2 linked regions of the Arabidopsis thaliana genome follow. The protein of the gene in region 1 interacts with the protein of each later gene in a pairwise test. Each region holds a gene or a part of one and is shown on either strand. Other genes may lie near its edges.

Region 1 (7,094 bases):
CAAGATCCACAATGTACAGATTAGCTACTTGTTTACCCATTCCAACCATTAATTCCCGTGTAGCATCCTGAAGAACACAGGAAGTTTCATCAAACCAGATTCTACACCCCATACTCTTAGTTAAAGAACTGACACTAAGAAGATTGAATTTGAACTGGGGAATGAAAAGAACATCATTAAGGATGAGATGTCTACCCAAGTGAACTGAACCTATACCAACAATGCTCACACGAATTCCATTAGGCAAGGAAACAGTAGTATCATGAAGATATTTAAAGGAAGAAAAAAAATGTTTATCATGGCAAATATGATTGGTTGCTCCTGTATCTATGACCCAAGAATGAATAGCAGTGACATTGCTATCTAAAGAACAGACATAAGGCCTAGCAATTCCGGCAAAAGAACAAAGGATAGAGGGAAAAAGGTTACCGGAAATTGGGCACACTGTGGAAGAAGAAGAAGGATCGGAAGATACTGAGATAGAGTGTACTTCAGGTTGAACGGGAGTACTAGGAGGCTGAAGTTTGGAACTCAGAAAGGACACAAGTTGTTGAATTTGAGAAGTCGTCAAATCACCAGTCGAAACACTTGTGTTGTTAACAACCTCTTCTGAACCAATAGCAGCATTAGCCGAGATAGAAGGCTTCACAAATTTCTGCTTAGACTTGAAAGAAGTTGGATAACCATGTTTCTTGTAACAAGTGTCTTCAACATGACCAGGTCGACTACAGTAAGAACAAACTGGCCTCTCCTTTTTCTGATAAGTATCTCCATTAAGAGCAGACTGTGAAGACTGATTAGAGACAGGAAACACTGATGAAGTCATTCCTGGAGTAGTAGAAATCCTTGCAGAACGTTGAGTTTCATCTTGATCAATCATGTTGAAAACCTCAGACAAAGATGGCAAAGTTTTCTTCATGAGAATCTGACTCCTAACAGTATCATAACAATCATTGAGTCCCATAAGAAAATCAATGACTCTATTAGTCTCTCTTTCAATCAGAAGATCTTCTACAGTCCGTGGAACAGCCTGAAGACTCGTCAATTCTTCCCAAAGAGTTTGAGTACGAGTATGATACGATGACAAATCCAGATTGCCTTGACGAAGAGAGTGAATCTGTTGACGCAGCTTGTAAAGTCGAGGGAGGCTAGATTTGTGAAATCGAGTATAGAGATCTTTCCAGATTGCAGCGGCTGTGGGAAAATACAAGATGCTTGTATAGATCTCCTTTGATACACTATTCAGAAGCCAAGACTTAACCATACTGTTACAACGACGCCAGATTTTGCAATAAGGATCATCATCATCAGGTTTTGGAATAGATCCATCCACAAATCCAAGCTTATTCTTAGCTTCAATGCTAGTAGTCATAGCTATAATCCAGGTTCCATAGTTGTTTCCATCTAACAGTTCTGGAGCTAGGACTAAACCAGGATGATCGGAGCTAACAAGATGATAAGGACTATGACTATTATCAGGAGAATCCGATACCTCAAAGTGACGCGATGAGCTATATTGAGCTGGTTGATGAATCGCAGCATGAATCGAGGATCCTGGAGCTCTCGCTGATGAACCAGAAGACTGCTCATGAATCTTCGGTGAAGCAATGACAGGAAGATCCGGTGAACTACTCCGACGAACACTCTTTCCATTTCGTTTACCTATGGAGAATCGAAACAGCTAACCAAAGAGACTGAATCGCAAAGGAGACGAAAGGAAAACGTGTAGAAGAGAGAAGAAGAACAATGAGAAGATGAACAAACTCCGGTGAGATTCCGGTGAGATTCCGGTGAGATCTAATCGGAGAAGTTTGTTACGGGACTGAGATCGAGATATTTTGCTCTGATACCATATTAGTAAAACAATCTCATTCTCATTAATTAGCAAAAGAGTACAATTGGGGGTTTATATACAAACTGACATTGGCCTAAACCATAAGCCTCTAAACCAAAATTAAGATTGGTTTATAAAATACCAACCTTTACAGACTCTATATGAAATCTATACTAACCAAACTAAGTTTATATACAACAATCTAAGTTATATACATTAATAAATACAAACCTTCACCTAAGAAAATATCTTTAACCCGACATAAATTTGTTACTACGGACATGTTTTTGTTTAATTGGAGAAAGATATATGATTGTGTATGGTGTCTATTGATTGATTGTCACAGAAGTATAGGCATTTTCTGTTATTGGCAAACTAAGAAAGAAAAGACATTTTCCACTAGTTATGTAATGCATCTTCGAAATACCCAACGGACCAAACCTGCTCATCCTTTCCGTTTTTGATATTATATAACAATATTTTATATCTTTTAATCGCTAAAAACGAATATTATATAAATGTATTGGATGTCCAAAAAAAAAAATGTGAATGGAGGCTTTCATATGCTATATCACTATCAACCAATCACAGAACATCTTTGACAGAAGGTTACCTATGCACGTACACTACACATACGATGCTCTTTGTTTATATCTTTGCTTATAGTTTATCGATGCTAACCACTGTAAGAATTAAGTAAAGTTAATGCCAATTTAACATTAAGTTAAAATTACTGTAAAAAGTAAATTAGATAGGCTGCCTTTTAAAAAAATTGTTGAATTATAACCATATTTGCTTTTCAAACATGCATGTCCCAAGTAACAGAACAAACAAAAAAAAGAAGAAGTTTGGCGTAATGCTCCTATACCATGGGTTAGTGCTCTCAAGCGGGTCATGTGTACACCAACAATATCAATTTTTGGGTGTTTGCTTTTAACTGAAAAAGTAAACGCATCGAATCTTTATTATGATTTCGATGAATAATGATAAAATTTGGGACAATTTCAATTCAAGTGAGGAAAACGTGTCTGTGCCTTCTTGGTAAATCTAACACTGAAATTTGACACGCAGTTGCTTCTATAGTCAGTAATTCCAATAAAGCATCTAAAATTGCATTTGAATATTTAATCATAGTCGTCCCTATCAATAATTGTCACCAACAAAGATAAAGGGTAAATAAGAAACATATAATGAAAATTGAATGGTCGTAGTTTTATATGTTAGTTGGAACCAAAGATTCTTCAATCTATCATCCACTCAGAGCTACGTGGACAGTCGATATTTTGGGTTATATAAAAAAAAACAAAATTGTACTATAAGACAAAAGAAAACAGTATTAAAAAAAAAAAAATCAATAACAAGATTATATCTTATCCCAATGAACAAAATGAAAATTTAGTTATTTTGAATAATGTTACAGGTTTTAATTAAATTATACTATATCACAAACAGCAAGAGTCAGATACATCGAACGGTCCAGCTTTCCTCCTTTATTTTTTTCTGGCTATCGTTTTGATGCAAAGTTGTTTCGTTAATCGTGAAAATTAAAAAGCTACAGCAATCTTCTCCGAAACTTCATACACTCGCCGACAAGAGAAACTTCATCCACTCGGATTTCTCGTAACTTGCAGCACTAAACATTTCATGAAACTATTCACAAAAGTCCACGAACCTTGCAATTGGCCACAAAATTTAAAATACTTATATACGTAACGACAACCTATCCATATTTTTCTTTCTAACGATCCAAAACTGGCCACGCTTCGACTCCATGGTGATATTAACTAGGGAAGTGGCTAATGGCAAACAAGTGCTTAGAAGTGGTAAATTCAAATAATAACCGTCGATTATTTCTTTCTAACCGTTATTGAGGTTACCAATTAAAAAAAGTGATCACAAACTAGGTCAATGAAAAGGGAGATTTTTTGTTTTCTTTGGGCCAATGAAAATAGAAACTAAGATGGACAAAAGAAAATATTATAATTGGACAAAACAGAGTCATTTGAGATTTAAAACAGAGAAGTAATAAAGGTCAAATGTTTTTGTGGTGAGCTCTCAAAAACAGACATAAAAAAAAGAAGCAGAATCATTCCCATTTATAACAAACCTAAACCTCTCTTTTCTTCTTCTCTTTACCTTTTTCATTCCAAAATCTCTCTCTCTCTCTCTCTCTTTCTCTGGCTCGGGAAGAAGATGTCACGTAGTTGCTCACAGTGTGGAAACAACGGCCACAACTCTCGCACATGTCCGACGGACATAACTACCACCGGTGACAACAACGACAAAGGCGGCGGGGAGAAAGCCATCATGCTTTTTGGCGTCCGCGTCACGGAAGCTTCATCATCTTGTTTTAGAAAAAGTGTTAGTATGAACAATCTCTCTCAATTCGATCAAACTCCTGATCCCAACCCAACCGATGACGGTGGTTACGCTTCAGACGACGTCGTTCACGCCTCCGGTAGAAACCGTGAACGCAAACGAGGTTAATAAAATAACCTTTCTTCTCTCTTTCCCAAATCTCATCTCTGTTTTTGTTTCTTGTTTTTGAAACTTTCTTGCAAATTTGGAATTTAGGAACTCCATGGACAGAGGAAGAACATAGATTGTTTCTTACTGGATTGCATAAAGTTGGAAAAGGTGATTGGAGAGGAATCTCTAGAAACTTTGTTAAAACTCGAACACCTACTCAGGTAGCGAGTCATGCTCAGAAATATTTTCTCCGGCGGACTAATCAGAATCGTCGTCGTCGTAGATCAAGCCTCTTCGATATCACTCCCGATTCGGTAACGTTTCATTCTTTAAAATCTATAATTAAAATCAAGAATCTGTAAGATTATACTAACACATAAGGTTCGATATGTCAACAGTTTATAGGATCATCAAAAGAAGAGAATCAGTTACAGACTCCATTGGAGCTAATCCGTCCAGTTCCGATTCCTATTCCGATTCCACCGTCGCGGAAGATGGCTGATTTGAATCTTAACAAGAAAAAAACTCCAGCGACAACGGAGATGTTTCCGCTGTCGCTGAATTTGCAGAGGCCGTCTTCGTCGACATCGTCATCGTCCAATGAACAGAAGGCACGTGGCTCACGTGCCTCCTCGGGGTTCGAGGCGATGTCGAGTAATGGAGATAGTATAATGGGAGTGGCTTGATGAAGAAGATAATGTTTTAATTAATTTATATTGTATAAGATAAGATCTGGATGATGATTAATTTGAAATTTGAGAATTAGGCTAATTAGATACTTTGATCAGAATCAAGTGAGTTTTTAAGTTTGAATTAGTGTGTACATGTTTTTTTGCTCTTTTTGGGGGAAACGACTTGTCGTTTTTGTTGTTGTATGATGTAAAACAACAGGTAGTCTCTGTGTTGTTTTGGTCAAGACTTGATCAGATTCAGAAGTGAAGACGACTTCAAGCTTAAGATAGTTTAGATGTGTCTTTTGAAAAGTTTAAACAGAATGGTTATTGGGTTAAGGTTAAGTGTATCTCATATGCTTTTTCTATCTTTTTTTTTGGTAAGACTTTTCCAGTAATTTGCCGTTTTCTTCGGGGTGTGTGTTGTTGATAATGTCACATTCATGAACCAAACACAGTTATATTACTTTAGTAACAGTTTTTTTTTGTTTTTTTGTTTGTCGTTTGACGTCATTTTGTTTTATTTATGTTATTACATACATGGATATAATTTATGAAACTGCCAAGAAAACAAAGAATATAATTTGTTGAATTGTTATTGGCCTACCAACTATATCAGCAAGATTCGAATCTATACTTTGTTAAAATGTCTCAATGTAGGACTGGACTGGAGATAAATATAAAGTAATATATAGGGTAAAGTTTCTAAGTCTTGTATAGCATGATTTTTATTAGGGAATAGAATTCTAATTTCATGATGTAATTCAAACAACTGAAATGGAAAATTGTTTAAAACTAGCTAAACTTGTACAGTTGTACTATTTAGAGCCCAAAGTGATAACTGTTTTATGGCTTTTATCCATGCAAAAGAAAAACATCAAAATAAAGTGATGTCCATCACATACATCTTAAATAAAGTAATAATGGGCCTAGCTAAGGTATAGCCCATGGGCTTATTCGCTGATCTAACCAAAGTGTCGCTAATTTTCTTCCTTGTTTTTTTAACGCAAATTTTCTTCCATGTCAATTATGTCTTTTTAATCAAAAATTCCTCCACACCAAAAAAGAACGTAAAAACTAAAAATAGAACAAATTCAACTACACTCAGATAATCGAATTGCTATGTCCAATATCCAAAACATTTCAAGCCATTTAGTGCTCTCACTAAACATATTTTAACAAAATATGAAATAACATTCCCAAAATTGCGATCAAAAGGCTAGAAACATCTTCAACAATTATGACAGTCCTAAACCAACAGTTCAAACACGTTTTATATCTGTTTGGCCAAATTAAACGAATATAACATAAAAATACGATTGATCTTAGACAATTACTAAAGTTTCTAAATAATAATCTATACTTTCACAAAACAAGAAATACAAATTGATTCTTGCGCAGAAAGTGCTTTGGTACCTACTTTTTTTACCACCTTTCCTTTTCAATTGAGACATCAACACATTCACTAAAACAAACTCTCAAACTGCTCTAAACGACACCGTTTAGTTACAGATAACTTTACTTGTATTTAAAGTCACCAAAAGTTTGAATTTTTATTTGTGCCTTCCACAAAGCTTTAAGCTTAAACACAGTCAATGGCCGTCCTTCCGCCATAAAAGGACAAAAAAAAAGCTTCCCTCTTTTCACAAAACCCTAAAGAAACAAAAAAAAAACCATCATGAAAACGATCTCAATCTTCTTCGTCATCATCTTAATGTCATCTTCTCACGCAGAAGACGATGTACTCTGTCTCAAAGGCTTTAAATCATCACTCAAAGATCCTTCAAATCAACTCAACACATGGTCTTTCCCTAATTCATCATCGTCGATTTGCAAACTCACCGGAGTTTCTTGCTGGAACGCTAAAGAGAATCGAATTCTCTCTCTTCAGCTTCAATCAATGCAACTCTCTGGTCAAATCCCTGAATCTCTTAAACTATGTCGGAGTTTACAATCTTTAGATCTTTCCTTTAATGATTTCTCCGGTTTGATTCCTTCACAAATATGTTCTTGGCTTCCTTATCTTGTTACTTTAGATCTTTCCGGTAACAAACTCTCCGGTTCGATACCGTCTCAGATCGTTGACTGTAAATTCTTAAACAGCTTAGCTCTAAACCAGA
Region 2 (8,944 bases), on another chromosome or scaffold:
ACCATGCAAGAAAACATTGGTAACATCCATTTCTGTCACTTCCGATCCCATCCATGAATAGCATCAAATCTTAACAACTTTACACTAGTCAGTTTGGAAAATGTTAAAAAACATTAGTGAAACACGTTCAATATATATCTCTCAAATTTTGCTTTGGCAAAAAAAATATCTCTCAAATTTTCAAGTTTAGAGACTTTTATAATGATCAATGTGGTAAGAATAATTACTAGTTTACTTACTATAAAGGTATGTATATAGTGTTTTGTACAATAACCAAAACAAAAGCTAAGTAAATCCATCTGTAGCAAATAGTTGTTTTCTTTGCTTCTGCTTTACTATATAAAAGATTCGCTAAAAGTGTTTATCCAACAAAAAAAAAGATTCGCTAGAAGTGAAAAAACATTCACTCTAGTAAGAAAAGTTTGCTATCAATAGAAACCTATCATTTTTATATTTTACAAAATATGCATATGTTCTAGTTACAGTATCAAAGAAAAAATTATCTCATTTTCTAAATTTATCAAAATTAGCTAATCATATCATATTAGAGGATAATGGGATCTTGGCTCATTTCTTTTCCTCCACACAAGACAAATCTTGCTGCATACCTTAATAATTTAGATTTCCTATATAAATTTATTTAGTTAAGAAAACCTATGTTACCTAGTATACAACTTTAATTTATTTTATTTTGGTCACTGATAGTATACAAGTTCTGGTTAATATTTACAACTGAAAAAGGTTACACCGTTTATATAAAAGAATATATACATCTGTAGCCTAGTGGGAAATCATCTCTAGTAGACTGTTGATAAAGTATTATTGGAAGCATATTTTAAAAGTGAGGAAGAAAATTGAAGGGCCCAAGAAAAATATAATGAATTTTAGTGAATCATAATGTGCTGTCGATTATCCCATCATAATCTATAGAGTGGAGAGATGGCTAAAGCAAGACACAAAGATGTTCATGCACCTTTTGCAGCAAAGTTTAGGTACCTCAAAAGTGTAAATAAAGCATTTTTGAGACAACAAACAAAAACGCAGTTTTGAGAATTTGATGTTGGACTAAGTTTGATCCACTAATTAGTAGTATGAAGAAAATGTAAATATTAGGAATGGATTAAGACATCCATTAGAGATTATGAATTCACATGATAGCACATTATAAGGCTGTTAACAAAAGTATTATAACTAACTATTATTAGCTTTTCTTCTATAGGCCTCACGTTTCTTAATAAAGAGTGTGTTTTATTGAAAGTAGAGCTTCTTGTGTTTTTTTTTTTAATAATAAGCTAATTATATACATAGAGTTACTAATCAAAGTAACATAAAGGTACTTGTAACATGTGAAGCTTTGTTGTGTACTGTTAAAGCTGTTGATGGACCGGTTCTTTTTACCGGTCTTGAAATCCGTGAATTGTTTGAACTCTTACTGGTCGAGAATAATTTTAAACAATTTAACTAAATTTTTTACAACTCCAAAACTGAATTAAAATTAAAAAATTCCACACAAATGAAAATTCGCAACTAATGTACAAAACATAAAGTTGAGAAAAAAAAACACACTTAAAAATCATCATCTCTGGTTTAGACTGACTTTTTAGTTAGTCATAGCGAGCCTAAAATCCTTGAGAGCGGTCCGCTCGTAACCTCTATATGAATCAAGCTTTTAACCAGCCCGGTTTATTAAACCGGAGCAATCCGGTACGGTCAATAATTTGTGTCATTACATTGAACAGCCACCAGTAACCGGTAAAGGCATTGTAGCTTTGATACCATCCAAAATAGTCTTAGAGTTTCCTCCACATTTCATTGTCTGCTCCAAAATATTCACTAGTTGCATGAATATTTCCATCCTCGTCACGTCGCGACTCGCCTACAATCCAATATCGACCCGGTTTCAGTTTAAATAAGATACATTCTAACACAATCTCATCTTTCCAAGTTAAACAACCTTGTGTAACTTATATAATATACCTCAACAGTGAAGCGAGCCCAAATCTTGTCTACTCGAGTTTCGATGACTCCCTTCAAGATCGTTAACCCTAAGCTTCTGATCCAATCTGCGATTTCTAGAAAGAATCCTCGTTGCTCGCATAACATCTGTTACAAAACCAGAAAACGTTCGATCAAAACCGAGATCTTGAGTGTTTTTTATTAAGAACCTTAGGCAGAAATGTTACCTCGACTTGGAAAATGCGAGGCGGGTTTATATCTTCTACGACAATTGGACACACCATAGACTTTGACCCTACTTCGAAAGCCCATGTTGCTCCTCCACCGTCCTCTTTCATAATCTTATAACAATACAACAAACGTTAGATCAAGAATCCATGAGAGACACCAAAATATTATTGTTTTATGTTATACCTTGGATTCCCCGGTTTGCTTCAGCTTATCAGAATGCTTGGAGACATTTTGCAAGAAGAGCATGTGCTTGATTGTACGTTCAAGGAGTGCATCAATGCTACACTGTTAAATAAAAACCACATGTACTCTTTGTTAGTAATAACCTTTCTTAGGGATTGTTTAATTTGCCAAGAACAGATAAGTTTTTCACTTACTTTTGCACCGTTTGGTATTATTTCACGCAGCTCTTTGACACGATCTTGGATCATTTGGCGATCTTTAGGCCTTGGTCTTGGGTTCTCTCCTGGTTTAAGCCTTTTCCGGTTATTAGCCGGTTTTGCAGTTTCATTCTTGTTCACCATCCTTGGACTGCCCTCACGCTTCAAGCTGTGCGCTTGTTCAACCCAAGAACTTATCTGAGACCCGTAGACCGATGATGGCCCCAATGGTTGCCCATGTTTCTTCTCAAATAACTGGCTACCTTGAGGGCTACTGTGAGACGGCGTGGTAACCGAAGAATTACTAACTTTAGTCAAGGTGGTTTTGCAGGACTCGGAAGTTTCGTCTGAGATCTGCTTTGTGGAGGAGCAAGCACCCGAGACCACGGCATCTAACAGATGATCTGTTCCTGAAAGTTCATACCCCGAAGAACCGAACTCAGGGTCCATTTCTTGAATGATCCGAAAGTCGGATAACTCTCTAGTGAGTACTTCTGTTCTCATCTGTGAAACTCCCCAACTGTTGTCACAACCTTTGTTCTTATCATCCAAACCCAACATATCAAACAAGTCGTCGCTTCCAAGCGAGCGTTTCGAACTGATGTCTTCACATGGGATTTGTTGCTGCTCTGCTGCATCCACATTAGACATACAAGAGAAGTTTTGATTCAGCCACGCATCTGGATTTGAAGGTACTGCAACTTCTCCAGCTGTTAGAAATCCTGTTGTGCTTTGCCATCCTCCTTCATGTTCATCCACAAGATTACAGGGAGATTCTTCAACCATTTGATGATCTGATGATCCAGTGGAGTTGAAATGTTGTTTGCTAGTTTCAGCTACGAAAGCCGAAGATTGGAGGATCTTATGTCCTTGAGAAGGTATTATCCGAGACACTGGCACTCCAATAAAATCAGCAGCAGGTTCATATGTTCTGTAGTTTTCAGATAAGAGAGCCCCCGGAACACATCCGAGCTGCAGGATAAGACCCTTCACGTCATTCACAAACCCCAAGTTCTCCATAATCTGAACACACAAAAAACAATTCACAGTTAAATCAAGAACAAGAATCTCACTTCACATAACAATGTAACTTGAACTTACAGGCAGAGAGGAACCGAGCTGAACAACACCGTGAGGAACAACCGGAAAAACTGCAACAGTCTGAAGAACAAACAAAATAAGCACACACAAACAGTTCTTATGAGCTTGAACATATATATACACTAAAGAAGCCTAACTTAGGATGTTCAAAACATGAAGAAAGTATCAAACCTGAATACCAGCAGAGAATTGGAGAAGCATCTCATTAATAACCTCGGGTGGATGAACATCGCGGTTAAAACTGTTAGCTAGAATCCATTGATGATGTCCAGTAAATGCAGCTCGGCCAACTAGACCTTCACCTACCAAAATGATTCGATTGTTCAACATCATTCGGTTTGTAAGCAACTGAACTTTCTCATTCCCTTGTGTATCAACACCAAGTCCACAAAGTCTTCTAGGATTCGAGCTCGATTCGGTTTCATTGTAACATTCCTCCCAAATCAACAAGCTGCACAAAAACAAGTAAAAAAAACACATCAAAAAAAAAAAATTAGAATACACATGACAAAAATATGCAACAATCGTTTAAGTTAGAATACCACAAAAAGACGATTACAAAAGATTTTGGGCTAAACAAAGACAAAACGAACAAAGACAAGAAATAAAAATTGAAATGACAAGAGAGTTAAAGAACTTGAACTCTTTAGACAATTCATAAACAAATAATAAGGATATAGTTATTGTCGACAAAACAACTACAAATCGAAAGATTCTTTAAGACAAACAAGATCAAACCAAACACAAAACTCCAAGAATTAAACAGAGATAAATAATTCTAGTCATCCTCGAGATCTGAGTTTTAAACCCTTATCAAAAAATTCTCAAACTTTAAACTAACAAACACTGAATATATTTGACTGAATAAAGTTTGACACTTTATTAGAATTAGGAGAATAAGAGTGGTACCTAGAATTTTGACAGCCAATTTTCCAGAAAACAGCATAAGACCATTGATTATTAACACACATAGACCTTAAAGCTTCTCTTAGTAAAACTCCCATAGCTTTTCTCTTTCTCTTCTCTCTTCTTTAAGCTCCAACAAGAACAAACTTTTTCACTTGCAACAGTGCAATTTCAAACTGCCCAGAAGAAAAAAATCGAAACTTTAGGTCTAAAAACAAAACTTTTTAACAAATCTACAACAATCAATAAAAACCCATTATTACATTCTTTAAGAGGAAAATGGATTTGAACAAAGACTAACTTCCACGGCAAGATCCTCTTCCAGCTTGTTTTGTCCTAAGTCCTCCACTTTGTTTTCTTTCAGGATCTAAACTAAAAGCGATCATACTCCGACATGCCATTACTTCCGGTAATAAGGAAGAGAAAAAAAAACTCAAAACCCCAGAAAAGAAAAATACAAGAAACTAGTTAATCTTCTTCACAAGATGCTCCAAGCTTCAAGCTTTAAGATTCCAGTAACACCAGCCATTGATAAAACTTGAAGAAAATTAGAAGAAGATGGAGAAGAAAGCAAATGGAGATTATTTGTCTTTGTTTTTTCTCTGCTTTAATGTTTCTTTTCTCTGCTTCTTGGTGAAAAAAAGATTGAAAAATGAGGAAAAAGTACCATCTTATTAAAAACAAAGAACACGATGAATTCGAGAAAGGGTATCAATGTTTAGTAGAAATTACAGGATTGTGCCACTGAGTGGGGTAGTCGAAGTCTTTTGTCTTTTTCCGATGGTGCTAGACGAATAATTTATTGTTTTTTTCGTGAGGTAATATCCTAAAAGTTTGTTTTTAGATAAAAACAAAAGAGATAAAGAAAAAAAGTGTACCCTCGGAGATAAATTAAAAGACGTTCCTAAATATAATTATTAAAAATATATATGTATATATATATATTAAAATATTTAATAACGGCATAAGTCTAGAAGTTAGAGGATTTGTAGGATTATGGATTGTCAATAAATAAAAGAGATTTTCATTTTCTGGTATTGCTTCCCGTACACACAAATAATAAATACACATAAGTTCAAGGTGTTTAATATTGAGCTTATATTTAAAATAGGCATTTTAAATAAAGTTATTTCAAAATAGGTATTTTCCACAGTTGAATACAACAGTGTCGATTTATTGCTTCAATCGGGACAATTTTGTCCCTGTCTTTTTTTCCTTCTCTTCTTCTTCATCGTCTTCTTTCTTCTTCTTCTTTATCGAACATAGTTGCAAAATCTGATTAAATCGATTTCTTCTTTGTTTTTCAAGCAAACTTAATTTTTCTTTTTAATTACACAATACTAAACCCTAAGATAATATATAGGGAACCCAATCGAAAAAATTTATAGATTTTATGGAACTTTAGTTCTGATTTTGTGGAATTTCGGTTCTGATTTTAGAGAATTTCAGTTCTGTCCACATGACTACGATAGGCTGTGTCCATGGCGGAAATAAAGAAGCTTTCTTTGTTGCGACTTAACCTTCGTAAGCAAAGTTGGAATCTTTTCCCACCCAGAGTCTTCCTATACCAAGAATAAATCGGTTCACAAATAACAATGAGTTGAAACCGGTTTTTGAATATCGTCTCACCTGTCTTTTTCAAATTACCAGTAATCACCACAAGTCCATTCTTGAAATGATGAAACCGGTTTAAATCCCTCACAATGATCTCTCTCTCAGTGATTTTCCATATAAAAACTTGGATTCTTGAAAATCCGAGTTGTTGTCTTTGCAGGAGTGGCGATTTAGAAGATGATGCATATATCGCCATTGTTTCAATTGAATATAGGGAACACACACGATTTATTGCTTCAATTGGTGATGCAAATATCGAATATAGGAAACAGACACGACTTATTGCTTCAATTGGGTAAAAGATAATGCAAATGAGAGGAGGATAAGGATGACTTTTCACAAGAGAAAAGTACCTCTTTCGAAAATCATGTAAGGAAATACCTTAAAATAAATATATAACCAAGACAAATGCCTATTTTCTAATAAACTCTTTAATATTTAGATTATTTTATTATTTATCATGTTAAATTAAATTCTGAAAAACTCATTAACACTTTAATTTAACATCAAGCAATTCGTAATTACTAATTTAAAGATTTAACTTAGTTATATACTGATATTTTAGTGGGTGCAAAAAGGTCCAAACCATATTATTTTTTAATAGATTATTAACTACTTTTACTATGTACTAAGTTTTTTTTTCCCCATAAAAACGATCTATAATTACTATGATATTTTTAACAGAAAAACTATGAACATTATACTGAATCACTAAAAGAACATCGTAATACTTTGACCACAATAAAATAAAATAAAGATATAATTTGAGCATTGGGAGGTTTTTAGAAGGCACCACACCGAATGATTTCAAGTAATCTTGACAGTTTTTTTAAATGTAACTGCCAGTATGTTACAAAAGGATAATGAAAGTTCTGCGGGAAGATGGACCGTAGATAGCCTCTTATTGTATGGTTTGTACAATTTACAAGTTTAAAAAGAAAAATCCGACTGAGTGAGATTTTGTAGTGAAAAACATATTATTTGTGTTCATGATCCACGAAACTAACAAAAATACAAAATAGTTCACATGTCATCAATCACGAACGATCAATTTATCGGTTGTCGACCAATATATCAGTCCACAAAATCACTGTTTTTCTTAATTGATACTGATTTTAAAATTTAATCAGCATAGTTATTACCATTAAATAAATAAAAAATACTGATAGCAGAATTTTATGTAAAGTTCTGATAAATCATATTTATGAATATTGGTGGTATATAGCACATAACCATTGGTAGAGACATTTCATGTGATGCCATTCTCGTCCATGGTCAAATAAAGACAAATAAACAAACACTCAAAGTTTTGTAACGTTGATTTTTTTTTTCTTAATGTGTAACGTTGATACCATGTGAGAACACACATAACATTTATTGAAAATTTGTTTCGTCTATGTTTCTTGTGGAAAAAACATTTGCTATATACCAAATGAATATAGACACATCCCTAGTAACTTAGATGGTACATAAACTATAGGTGGTAATAAAGTAAATATTTGTGGTAGGCTGCAACTTTCGAGTGAAAACATAATATAAAAAAATGAATTTTTGTTTTTTGTTTGTCAAAAAACTGATTTTCATTTGTTATTAACAAGAAAAGGTAGATGAGAAATTGGGAGAAAGAAAAAAAAAGAGATGTTTTAATGCTTAGATGTCTCATAAACCATCGAGGTGGAATTAGTAGTTGTTGCTGTCTTGATGACGTCACCGGTGACAATTTGCCATTCACTCTCTGAATTTTCACAGAAGTGGCAGTGCCTTTTTTACTATCAGAGAGACCCCTAAAGACAATAGAGGCCCAAACTACATTCTCTTTTCAATTGTTTTTTTTTTCTTTAGCTCAACTTCAACTTAATATTAATCCAATAGATTCTCTTTTCAATTACATTCGCTGAATATATATATATATATATATATATTTGTTTAAGCATTCATTTATAGTAATTTATTAAAAAGATCTAAGAAAAATGTTATATTGTATTTAAAATTATCTTCATTTAATAAACTAAGGTTAAAGAATCTTACTTTAAATAGATTGTTTCCATACAAATAGAGTTTTTCCATATGACAGTTAAAATGTTGTAAAATATAAAGTATGTGGACGTAAATTTTTCGAAGTATATGGTTGATTCTTCTTCGAGCAAAAACTTTGTGTGCGTGTGGCCACTTAAACTCTTGGATTTTGTTTTGATGTCTAATTTAAGATTAATTTGCTGAAAATTCCTGCAAAATATTTATTCATTTTTGAATTAGTCGGGTTTAACTTGAAACTTGTAGGCTAAAATTGATGTGACTTTTATCTTACACGTTTACTGTTAATCTTAGATTGATTTGTGGAAACTCTTGCCAGAATTCACCTTTGGATTAGTCTGACTGTGAAATTTGTAAGTTGTATCTATAAAAAGTGCTAAAAATGTATGTGAGTGTTGTCTTAGATCTGTAATTGCTAAATATTTAGAATTTTAGAAAATTATAAAGCAAAAAGCAAAATAAAAATAAAAAAATCATTGTACCATGTATGTTCATAATTTTCCGGTTATTGTAGCGCAAATGGTAAAATGTCTGGTTCTCTTCCGTATTGCCAAGTATTCAAGATAAAAATATGAGTAATTTAACATTCGATACCGATGTAATAATTTTGGGATAACATAGAATAGAGAAATGATAAAATATACCGACATGTATAGGAATGATAGAATGAGGATGTTGGAGGGTTGGAGAGAGGAAGAATGCCACGTGGGTAGAGTGGGTAG

The links. Proteins that work in one complex are often made in the same cells at the same time.
Region 2: the proteins of AT1G70000 (region 1) and LHW interact in a two-hybrid assay, tested with the Arabidopsis thaliana proteins (one large-scale study listed by BioGRID).

Annotation. Positions count from the first base shown.
Region 1 is NC_003070.9:26,361,569-26,368,662, reverse strand, and holds AT1G70000 (myb-like transcription factor family protein), read left to right. Parts: upstream 1-3,784; 5' UTR 3,785-4,027; coding exon 4,028-4,316; intron 4,317-4,408; coding exon 4,409-4,617; intron 4,618-4,701; coding exon 4,702-4,989; 3' UTR 4,990-5,684; downstream 5,685-7,094. Other genes in the region: AT1G69990 (Leucine-rich repeat protein kinase family protein), read left to right, coding at 6,653-7,094.
Region 2 is NC_003071.7:11,646,623-11,655,566, reverse strand, and holds LHW (transcription factor-like protein), read right to left. Parts: upstream 5,209-8,944; 5' UTR 4,838-5,208; intron 4,751-4,837; 5' UTR 4,673-4,750; coding exon 4,578-4,672; intron 4,120-4,577; coding exon 3,840-4,119; intron 3,729-3,839; coding exon 3,669-3,728; intron 3,591-3,668; coding exon 2,565-3,590; intron 2,473-2,564; coding exon 2,371-2,472; intron 2,298-2,370; coding exon 2,184-2,297; intron 2,104-2,183; coding exon 1,978-2,103; intron 1,877-1,977; coding exon 1,727-1,876; 3' UTR 1,424-1,726; downstream 1-1,423. Other genes in the region: AT2G27229 (Pentatricopeptide repeat (PPR) superfamily protein), read right to left, coding at 6,010-6,384. UniProt on the Arabidopsis thaliana protein: Transcription activator that regulates root development; promotes the production of stele cells in roots. Coordinately controls the number of all vascular cell types by regulating the size of the pool of cells from which they arise.